Linked DNA regions of Saccharomyces cerevisiae S288C. The protein of the gene in region 1 interacts with the protein of each later gene in a pairwise test. Each region holds a gene or a part of one and is shown in the gene's direction. Other genes may lie near its edges.

What was found.
Region 2: the proteins of EMC5 (region 1) and SNA3 interact in binary tests that used the Saccharomyces cerevisiae proteins (3 or more experiments, as listed by UniProt).
Region 3: the proteins of EMC5 (region 1) and MATALPHA1 interact in a protein complementation assay, tested with the Saccharomyces cerevisiae proteins (one large-scale study listed by BioGRID).
Region 4: the proteins of EMC5 (region 1) and PIS1 interact in a protein complementation assay, tested with the Saccharomyces cerevisiae proteins (one large-scale study listed by BioGRID).

What each region holds. Positions count from the first base shown.
Region 1 is NC_001141.2:303,133-305,655, reverse strand, and holds EMC5 (Emc5p), read left to right. Parts: upstream 1-1,551; coding exon 1,552-1,977; downstream 1,978-2,523. Other genes in the region: cohesin subunit IRR1, read left to right, coding at 1-1,179. UniProt on the Saccharomyces cerevisiae protein: Part of the endoplasmic reticulum membrane protein complex (EMC) that enables the energy-independent insertion into endoplasmic reticulum membranes of newly synthesized membrane proteins.
Region 2 is NC_001142.9:135,820-138,388, reverse strand, and holds SNA3 (Sna3p), read left to right. Parts: upstream 1-1,615; coding exon 1,616-2,017; downstream 2,018-2,569. Other genes in the region: SCF ubiquitin ligase complex subunit DAS1, read right to left, coding at 1-1,010; inositol-3-phosphate synthase INO1, read left to right, coding at 2,456-2,569.
Region 3 is NC_001135.5:198,704-201,469, forward strand, and holds MATALPHA1 (transcriptional co-activator mating type protein alpha), read left to right. Parts: upstream 1-1,738; coding exon 1,739-2,266; downstream 2,267-2,766. Other genes in the region: Ras family guanine nucleotide exchange factor BUD5, read right to left, coding at 1-846; MATALPHA2 (homeodomain mating type protein alpha2), read right to left, coding at 843-1,475; YCR041W (uncharacterized protein), read left to right, coding at 2,208-2,540; transcription initiation factor TFIID subunit TAF2, read right to left, coding at 2,471-2,766. UniProt on the Saccharomyces cerevisiae protein: Mating type proteins are sequence specific DNA-binding proteins that act as master switches in yeast differentiation by controlling gene expression in a cell type-specific fashion.
Region 4 is NC_001148.4:750,616-753,419, forward strand, and holds PIS1 (CDP-diacylglycerol--inositol 3-phosphatidyltransferase), read left to right. Parts: upstream 1-1,641; coding exon 1,642-2,304; downstream 2,305-2,804. Other genes in the region: RNA-binding ribosome biosynthesis protein MRD1, read right to left, coding at 1-1,304; ALE2 (Ale2p), read left to right, coding at 2,686-2,804. UniProt on the Saccharomyces cerevisiae protein: Catalyzes the synthesis of phosphatidylinositol (PtdIns).

The sequences.
Region 1 (2,523 bases):
CATCATTTTGAAAAAAAGGAACTGCAGGAAAAATTTTTAAACCAGATAGCTACATTGAAAATTCATTTAAAAAAATTTCTACAGGAAAAAATGGATCCAAATAATTCTAGGGACGACTACAAAGATTTAACTTGTTCTTTGTACGAGCTCTACATCAATAAACTGACAATTCTTGGCAGGGATTACCCAATCGAGGTTGATGAAGAGTTGTTGCAACTGTTTTTGAACAATTTTGTTTCCCGTATCCCTATAATGTTTCAAGATTTTGATGATAGTACCGCTCAAGAAATAAACTTTAAAATGCTAGTGTTATTAGCCACATGGAATCTGGAAAAATGGAGAGAAATAATAGAGAAAGTAAGGGATTACGAGAATTCTATTTCAAAAGATCTTAGATCAGTTTGGAAACCAATTGCCGCTATAATAGGTCGTCTAAACACACTCGTTATTTCATTGGCGGCTACAAACGAAACATTTGAAAACATAAACAGCTTGTTTTACTTAAAATGGTCAGCTTGCACTTCATTAATGGATATAATCGTTGCAATAAAAATATTTGAGCTCAAATTGCCTGCAGACGCTACAACATGGAGATATAGTATGAGTGAACAATTTCCATTTTACCTTCACGATAATGCTTCCAAAGTGCTTTTGAAAATATTTTTATATTTGGAGAGTCTTTTCGCTAAGCAAGTTGACGTCCAATTAGAAAGGGTAGCAGATGAAGACGCCAACCTAAATGATTTGCCGGAAACCGGGTTTTTCGAGAATATTGAAACTGAATTCCTTTTATTCACAGTTAAATTGAAGGGACTAATGAAACTGAATATTTTAGATGAACGATTTGCTTCCCGTGTGGCACTAAACAAAGAAAAGCTTGGCCCGCTGTTCAAAAAAATCGTAGATGATACCATAATGGAAAATCCAGAACCTAATAAAAAGAACATACAGAAAGCAAAATCAAATCAAACACAGAGGGAAAAAGCGCCTTTACAACCCAACAGTGAACGAGAAACCGACCATGCAAATACTGAAAATAATGATCCAGATATTCCCATGACAATCGATCTAGAACCTATTGAAGAAAGTTCGCAAAATAATTCAGAGTTAGCACCAATTGAGGAACACCCAACCGTGGTAGATGCTATAGACAACAGCGACGAAATCACACAAGATTAAGGGAAAAGATATACGTCAGACTTATTGCTCTTTTGTAAAACAATAAGATCTATAATATATATCACATCTTTCTTTTGAACATACATAGCTTCGTTAGCAGTTTTTGATTAATCATAAATACTTCAAATATCCCTTCGCATTAGACTATACTCGCTGGATGATATTCGGCTATGTATTTTCCAAGCCCATTCAATCGTCATCAAAGCGCCCTTTGCTTCTTCGAAAACTCGCGATGTAAACGCAGCGCAGAAAAATCTACTTTTGAATATAAAATAAAGTCAACTCAGATAGTTGTTATGCATGTTAATTGTAGCATCTAAAAAGCGATCGTAATTAAGCCCTACCGAGATACAAAAAAGCAATTATCAAGAGATGTCGTTTGTTTCCAAGCTTCTCTATACAGTCTCTGCATTGGTGTTATTTCATTCTGGTTTCTCAAGCTATGAGTTTCATCACTTATTAAAACTTAACTCGCTTAATAATGCACAAGGTGCAATCAGCAAGTTACCTAAAGATATCATGTATGAAACGTATGCAGGATTGATACTCTTTGTTCTTGCAGTGTTCACTTCGTTCGAGAAATTACAATATTTACCAATTGAGAGTAACGATGGGAAGATAATATCCCAAGGAAACTATCTAAAAGAAATCGCATTAAATAAAGCCACCAACGTGGATAACTTGATAGGAAGTAACCCTAATGGTGAGATCATATTTACTCCAAGCTTTGTTGACGTTCATATGAAGAGAAAAATTTGCAGGGAATGGGCCTCTAACACTGTAAAAAAAGAAAAATAAATAAGATACTGAAAACTAGAGCTAGAACTTATAATTTCATACATATATACATATCAAGATCTAATAAGAGGATTAGCTAGATTTTGAGCATAAATTCGATAGCGAATCTACTCGAACATCGTAACTGCACAAAATAAGGCGTCAGGTGACCAGGCACCTCTTCTATTTACACCAACACAGACGCCTTTCATAGAGGAATAGAAAGCTATATTAGAATCACCAATAATGCAAGCGTCTCCTGTGTTCTATAACGTGAACCATAAGCTTGAGTGGTTTCAAAAGGATTACGGGGCGGATAGTATCTTTTGCGTCTTCGTTGGATAGTTTGTTATTAAGATACATAAATACACACTAAATTTAGTGGTAAAATCTTCTATTCAATATTATCGAGAGTCTCGGTTTGAGGGCTAACACTCTAATGGATAACCGTTCGGAATATTTCTATTCCAGTTTACATAGTATAAGTACGATATTCATCCTCATGTTAGCGTAAGTGGAACTTGTTCAAATCATCCTGAGGTACAGACAAGCCCTTATTGATGATTC
Region 2 (2,569 bases), on another chromosome or scaffold:
ATCAAAGACAAATCTTCCAGGTTCTCAAATTCTTTAAAATCTTTCAGCATTTCTGTCTCGCGTTTTAACAAAGTGTCATTCCAAGAAATGATGGTAAGAATTTTCAATGTCCTCTTGTCAAAAACCTCCGATAGTTTAGTCAGAGGATTGCCGGGTCGTATCTTTTTAACAAAATAATCATTATTGTAAAACTCCCTCCTCCAATGCAATTTTAAATCGATGATTTGTAACTTGATATCTAAAGGGTAAAGATAATTGAACAGTTTTAAAGGGTCGATGAATAAAGTCATATGAGAAAGCCGAGAAGAGATACGCTGTGAAAGATATTTGGTGAGATTCGGAATGTAATTTTCGGGAACAACCATCTCAGGCAATGAATTTGGAGGAGCCATGTCGAAACTTGAGACGTTGCTCCTGGAAAAGTGACCATTGGAGATGATATCGTTACAAGCCGGGTCAGTGACGTTTTCTAGTCTTTGCAAGGACTTGCCCTGATTGCAAAGGATGCTGAGAATGGACCTTTGCAAGGTAGAGTCCAAATCCCAGTTGATCCTTATCCACTGGATGACTTCAGTAATGTGAATATTATTTTGCAGTGTTTCTATAAGTTTTTTCAATTTGCAGTTGGCGATATCGCGGGACTCCTCTTCTTTCAACGAAGACGGCAAGTTCAGTAGGGTCCAATTAATTGCGAGATGCATGAAGTCACTCTTCACTACATTTGAGTCGTTCAAATATATTCTTCTATAAAGCAGTTTGGTAGCGATCTTATTCAACCTTTTGTTCACAAGGCAAAGCTGCAAGCGGTCTGGTTGCGGCAAATGAGAGAATACTTCTTGCATGAGCTCATCGGGGAGCTTTGTTAGCGGGAACACGTAGTTTTTGCTCTTGGCGGCGAAATTTATGTTAATATCGTTAATATCTCGTAGCGCTGAAGCATCTGCGTTACTTTTATTGTTTCTGTTAATGAACGCTGCTTTTTTCTTCTGAAAATAATCTTGAAATGGCATGATATGAATATAAGCTGAGTTGTAAACACTGTGTATAGACGTCCTGGATATTTTGCACGGAAATCAGATCTCCATCGAAATCTACAATTCGCTTATAATCTATATATATTCCTCTTTGTGTGGGACGATAAAGTAGGGTAATACTTGCAATGAGAAAGAATACTCTGGTGAACAGGTGCATTTTGAGAGGGAAATAGGAACTAAGAAAAACAAGTAGAGGAAAAGGGGTGTAGTGCAGTGCAGTAAAGCGTTGCATTGATCGTATCTTGATAGATATACCGGTATATTACTGAACGTTTACATTCACCCTACAACATTTATAAATCTTATATATTATACATGCAAACTCGTATTTGTGAAGTGGGCATATAGTTTTTCGCTATGTATATAGCGGATGAGTGCGTTGGGATTACTATTTCTTTAATGCACGTGATGAAGGCTCGTTTTCTTTTTTTTTTTTTTTTTTTCTTTTTGGGAACGGGGGAAAAGGTCTCACTAGTATATAAAGGAAAGAGAGTACAGCACGAATGAGCCAGCTGCAGGAAAGGGGCTAGGTTAAAAAATAAAAACCCAGCAGAAAGCAAACAACCAAATATAATTTAGAAATGGACAGAGACCATATTAATGACCATGACCATCGAATGAGCTATTCCATCAACAAGGACGACTTGTTGTTAATGGTTTTGGCGGTTTTCATTCCCCCAGTGGCCGTCTGGAAGCGTAAGGGTATGTTCAACAGGGATACACTATTGAACTTACTTCTCTTCCTACTGTTATTCTTCCCAGCAATCATTCACGCTTGCTACGTTGTATATGAAACGAGTAGTGAACGTTCGTACGATCTTTCACGCAGACATGCGACTGCGCCCGCCGTAGACCGTGACCTGGAAGCTCACCCTGCAGAGGAATCTCAAGCACAGCCTCCAGCATATGATGAAGACGATGAGGCCGGTGCCGATGTGCCCTTGATGGACAACAAACAACAGCTCTCTTCCGGCCGTACTTAGTGATCGGAACGAGCTCTTTATCACCGTAGTTCTAAATAACACATAGAGTAAATTATTGCCTTTTTCTTCGTTCCTTTTGTTCTTCACGTCCTTTTTATGAAATACGTGCCGGTGTTCCGGGGTTGGATGCGGAATCGAAAGTGTTGAATGTGAAATATGCGGAGGCCAAGTATGCGCTTCGGCGGCTAAATGCGGCATGTGAAAAGTATTGTCTATTTTATCTTCATCCTTCTTTCCCAGAATATTGAACTTATTTAATTCACATGGAGCAGAGAAAGCGCACCTCTGCGTTGGCGGCAATGTTAATTTGAGACGTATATAAATTGGAGCTTTCGTCACCTTTTTTTGGCTTGTTCTGTTGTCGGGTTCCTAATGTTAGTTTTATCCTTGATTTATTCTGTTTCATTCCCTTTTTTTTCCAGTGAAAAAGAAGTAACAATGACAGAAGATAATATTGCTCCAATCACCTCCGTTAAAGTAGTTACCGACAAGTGCACGTACAAGGACAACGAGCTGCTCACCAAGTACAGCTACGAAAATGCTGTAGTTACG
Region 3 (2,766 bases), on another chromosome or scaffold:
TTTGTTTTTATTAATTGTGGGATAGGATAGTAGCAACTCTTGGAGGAGAGCATTGTCAGTTGTCCAGTCTCTGAAGTTAAGTAGTAAGTTTGCGGAGTCAAAGGGGGATGGCTTTTGCCATTTGTGAGAGTTGTGCGGCAGCATCTTATTCAAATAGAGCTGTATTCTGAAGACCTCTTGTAGAACATCATCCATACTAAAAAGTAAATCGTCCTGTCCCATTACGAGCTGTATTAGTGCTGTGACCCTCTGTATATTTACGTTGCCATGAAGAAGGTAATGGGCGATATTTTGATACAATTCCTGAGTTGCATGTTGGATTGAGTTTACGAAGGGTCGCCAGACGGCCAGAAACCTCCAGGCGGAGTTAACAACTAGTAATACGGCATCCATGTTTGCATCAGCGCCGAGCCTATACCAGTCACTGAGTAGACGTTTTCTTGCTCTTTTTATGTCCTGACTTCTTTTGACGAGGGGGCATTCTCTAGAGACACAGGCAGTTGCTTCCAGCAACTGCCGTACGGCCGTTCTCATGCTGTCGAGGATTTTTTTTGGGACGATATTGTCATTATAGGGCAGTGTGTGACTTATGAATTGTTGTAGAAGGACGTCTGTGATGTTGGAGATATGTATTTTGTTAACTCTTCTTGAGACGATTTGGCCCTGGATAGCGAAGCGTGCGGTTACAAATAGGTCGTCTTGTTCAAGAAGGTAGGCGAGGACATTATCTATCAGTACAAACATCTTAGTAGTGTCTGAGGAGAGGGTTGATTGTTTATGTATTTTTGCGAAATATATATATATATATTCTACACAGATATATACATATTTGTTTTTCGGGCTCATTCTTTCTTCTTTGCCAGAGGCTCACCGCTCAAGAGGTCCGCTAATTCTGGAGCGATTGTTATTGTTTTTTCTTTTCTTCTTCTATTCGAAACCCAGTTTTTGATTTGAATGCGAGATAAACTGGTATTCTTCATTAGATTCTCTAGGCCCTTGGTATCTAGATATGGGTTCTCGATGTTCTTTGCAAACCAACTTTCTAGTATTCGGACATTTTCTTTTGTAAACCGGTGTCCTCTGTAAGGTTTAGTACTTTTGTTTATCATATCTTGAGTTACCACATTAAATACCAACCCATCCGCCGATTTATTTTTCTGTGTAAGTTGATAATTACTTCTATCGTTTTCTATGCTGCGCATTTCTTTGAGTAATACAGTAATGGTAGTAGTGAGTTGAGATGTTGTTTGCAACAACTTCTTCTCCTCATCACTAATCTTACGGTTTTTGTTGGCCCTAGATAAGAATCCTAATATATCCCTTAATTCAACTTCTTCTTCTGTTGTTACACTCTCTGGTAACTTAGGTAAATTACAGCAAATAGAAAAGAGCTTTTTATTTATGTCTAGTATGCTGGATTTAAACTCATCTGTGATTTGTGGATTTAAAAGGTCTTTAATGGGTATTTTATTCATTTTTTCTTGCTTATCTTCCTTTTTTTCTTGCCCACTTCTAAGCTGATTTCAATCTCTCCTTTATATATATTTTTAAGTTCCAACATTTTATGTTTCAAAACATTAATGATGTCTGGGTTTTGTTTGGGATGCAATTTATTGCTTCCCAATGTAGAAAAGTACATCATATGAAACAACTTAAACTCTTAACTACTTCTTTTAACCTTCACTTTTTATGAAATGTATCAACCATATATAATAACTTAATAGACGACATTCACAATATGTTTACTTCGAAGCCTGCTTTCAAAATTAAGAACAAAGCATCCAAATCATACAGAAACACAGCGGTTTCAAAAAAGCTGAAAGAAAAACGTCTAGCTGAGCATGTGAGGCCAAGCTGCTTCAATATTATTCGACCACTCAAGAAAGATATCCAGATTCCTGTTCCTTCCTCTCGATTTTTAAATAAAATCCAAATTCACAGGATAGCGTCTGGAAGTCAAAATACTCAGTTTCGACAGTTCAATAAGACATCTATAAAATCTTCAAAGAAATATTTAAACTCATTTATGGCTTTTAGAGCATATTACTCACAGTTTGGCTCCGGTGTAAAACAAAATGTCTTGTCTTCTCTGCTCGCTGAAGAATGGCACGCGGACAAAATGCAGCACGGAATATGGGACTACTTCGCGCAACAGTATAATTTTATAAACCCTGGTTTTGGTTTTGTAGAGTGGTTGACGAATAATTATGCTGAAGTACGTGGTGACGGATATTGGGAAGATGTGTTTGTACATTTGGCCTTATAGAGTGTGGTCGTGGCGGAGGTTGTTTATCTTTCGAGTACTGAATGTTGTCAGTATAGCTATCCTATTTGAAACTCCCCATCGTCTTGCTCTTGTTCCCAATGTTTGTTTATACACTCATATGGCTATACCCTTATCTACTTGCCTCTTTTGTTTATGTCTATGTATTTGTATAAAATATGATATTACTCAGACTCAAGCAAACAATCAATTCTTAGCATCATTCTTTGTTCTTATCTTAACCATAAACGATCTTGATGTGACTTTTGTAATTTGAACGAATTGGCTATACGGGACGGATGACAAATGCACCATTACTCTAGGTTGTTGTTGGATCTTAACAAACCGTAAAGGTAAACTGCCCATGCGGTTCACATGACTTTTGACTTTCCTTTGTTTGCTAGTTACCTTCGGCTTCACAATTTGTTTTTCCACTTTTCTAACAGGTTTATCACCTTTCAAACTTATCTTTATCTTATTCGCCTTCTTGGGTGCCTCCACAG
Region 4 (2,804 bases), on another chromosome or scaffold:
TTTAAATCAAACTCATCTAATCTATGGCTTTTTTTTTCTTCACCAGGAAGAATATGCAATAGTCTTCCTTGAAAAATCTGTTTATCCAATTCAACATAGGCGTTCACTGCATTCTTAGAATCCTTAAATAGAACGTATGCAAATCCTTTGGATTGACCAGTCCTGGTATCCAAAGCCACATGAACCTCCTCTAACTCTCCAAATGGACTAAATAGTTTCCTGAAATCTTCTTCTTTGGAGGTATACAAGATATTACGTAAGAATAAACGGCCAGTTTGGTTAATTTTTTCAATAGCCAGTTCTTCGTCCGTCTTTTGCGGCACAGCACGTTCTGGTTGTTCTTCCTTCTTGGTATCGAGACTTTCATTTTGTTCAGTAGCGTATGATGATGATTTTTCCCTTGTTTCCGCTTCACTTTCTTTGATTCTTACACGGCGTTGTTTGAACCAATCTAGGTCAGAAACCTTTTCATCTTGGGCGAGGTTTCTCCTCTTTTCATTCTCTTTTTCATCACTATTAGCGTCATCATTAACTAAACCTATATCAGTATCCTTCAAATTGCTAATACTTATCATCTTTTCTTCCTCTCCGGCATCTTCTTGATCTTCATCCCTGTTTCTGTTGAGAGCCGAATATTCATCGTCACTTTCATTCTCAATGACCAAATTTGGTGCTTCGTCTTTATTATTCTCTTCCTTTAAGGCTAATGCATGAGCCAATAGAGAATTCCCTTGCACGCTGGAGTCCTCTTCTTCCCGTTTTAGTTTTTCGTCCTCTATGCTCTTGTCAATGCCAACTTTTTCCCATGATGTGACTTGTGAGCTTGGCTTCATAGTCTCCATGAACTCTTGTAATTGCTTGTTCTTGCGAATCTCGTCATCAATGTTGCTGTGCTTATTTTCATCCACTTTCTTTTTCTTTCGATTTTCTTCTTGTAGCAATTTTTCTTCCTTTTCCCTAAACCTTTTCAGAGCTTCTCTTCTCTTCTCCTTCATGGGCTGCGGGACTCTTGGGTCTGCAAAGCTTTTAGCCATGGACACTTCTATCTTAGAAGTGTTGATAAAACTGCCATTGAAATACTCTACAGCATCAAAAGCGTCTTCCTCGTTACGGTATCCGATAAATCCAAATCTTCTACTTTCTCCGTTCCTATCTCTAAGAATTTTAACATCTGTTATGAGGTCTGGACCACTACCATTAACTGCTTGATGGGAATGTTTTTGACGTAATCTTTTTGTAAAATGCTCCCTGAGATTATCATCTGTTAGATAGACGGGCAAACCCTTGACAATGATACGGGACATGTTAGTTATGTTATCTTGTGCTTGAGGCTCAAATTAAATCTCAGTTCAGGTTGCAGTCTTTGCATATGAAGTACCGATGAGATGAGATGAGATGAGCTCTAAATTTCCATAAAATTTTTTCATTTTATAAAATTCACGTCGCTCCGCACGTAAATCCCTATTACGGAAATTATTTCTCAATAGGGAAAGCCCCTCCTATTGTTTTTTCCGTCTCGAGGATTTTTCACTTTTAGTATATAAGTAAAACATAAAAAACATGAGAGGTGGTATGGTTTATTTGCCGTCACTGTGGAGCCTTCAAGTAATGTAAATAAGAGGGAAAGTGTGATAGTACAAGATGAGTTCGAATTCAACACCAGAAAAGGTTACTGCAGAACACGTTCTGTGGTATATTCCCAATAAGATCGGTTATGTTCGTGTTATCACCGCCGCCCTTTCTTTTTTCGTTATGAAGAATCATCCTACGGCCTTTACATGGTTGTATAGTACATCATGTCTACTGGATGCGCTAGACGGAACCATGGCAAGAAAGTACAATCAGGTTTCCAGTCTGGGTGCCGTTCTGGACATGGTTACCGACAGATCCAGTACCGCTGGCTTGATGTGTTTCCTTTGTGTGCAGTATCCCCAATGGTGCGTTTTCTTCCAATTAATGCTGGGCTTGGATATTACTAGTCACTACATGCATATGTATGCCAGTTTAAGTGCTGGTAAGACTTCTCATAAAAGTGTGGGCGAGGGTGAGTCCAGATTGTTACACCTGTACTACACGAGAAGAGACGTACTGTTCACTATCTGTGCGTTTAACGAACTATTTTATGCTGGATTGTACTTGCAGTTGTTCTCAAATTCTGCAACCTTTGGTAAATGGACTACAATCATAAGTTTCCCTGGTTACGTGTTCAAGCAGACCGCAAACGTTGTCCAGCTAAAAAGGGCAGCCTTGATTTTAGCAGACAACGATGCCAAGAATGCCAACGAGAAGAACAAGACTTACTGATAGGATGAGTTTCTTACTTTTTTTCTCCTTTTAATTGCGCTAATCTTTTATTTATGTGTAGTTTTTATTTATGTGAAATGGAACATTCGTTGATTTAACTTTAAAAGCAGCCTACTCTATCGTCTTGATTATACTTGGCACAACAAATGCTCAAATAAACGAAAAATTTCATATTGTTGGTACTTTTTCTCAACGCGGTTTTTTTCCTGTTTTTTTCGAGCAGTTCCCGAGGGCATATTTAACATAAGCCAAGGAGAGAGAAAAAACGTTTGTTGGACAGATCAAAAAGAAAAAGAAGAAGACCTCTCCTCTATCTCAAGCTTCTGCCCCCCCCCCCGGAAGGAATTCAAGCACGAAGGTGAACATTGCCTACAAGAAAAAATGGATGTTTTATTGTCGCTTCCTCAACCGGAATTATTTAAGACCACGGTGATTCCGTTCTTGGCAAATCGCAATATAATCAAGTCGGAAGCGATTCTCTCCAACTTGCACTCAATTTT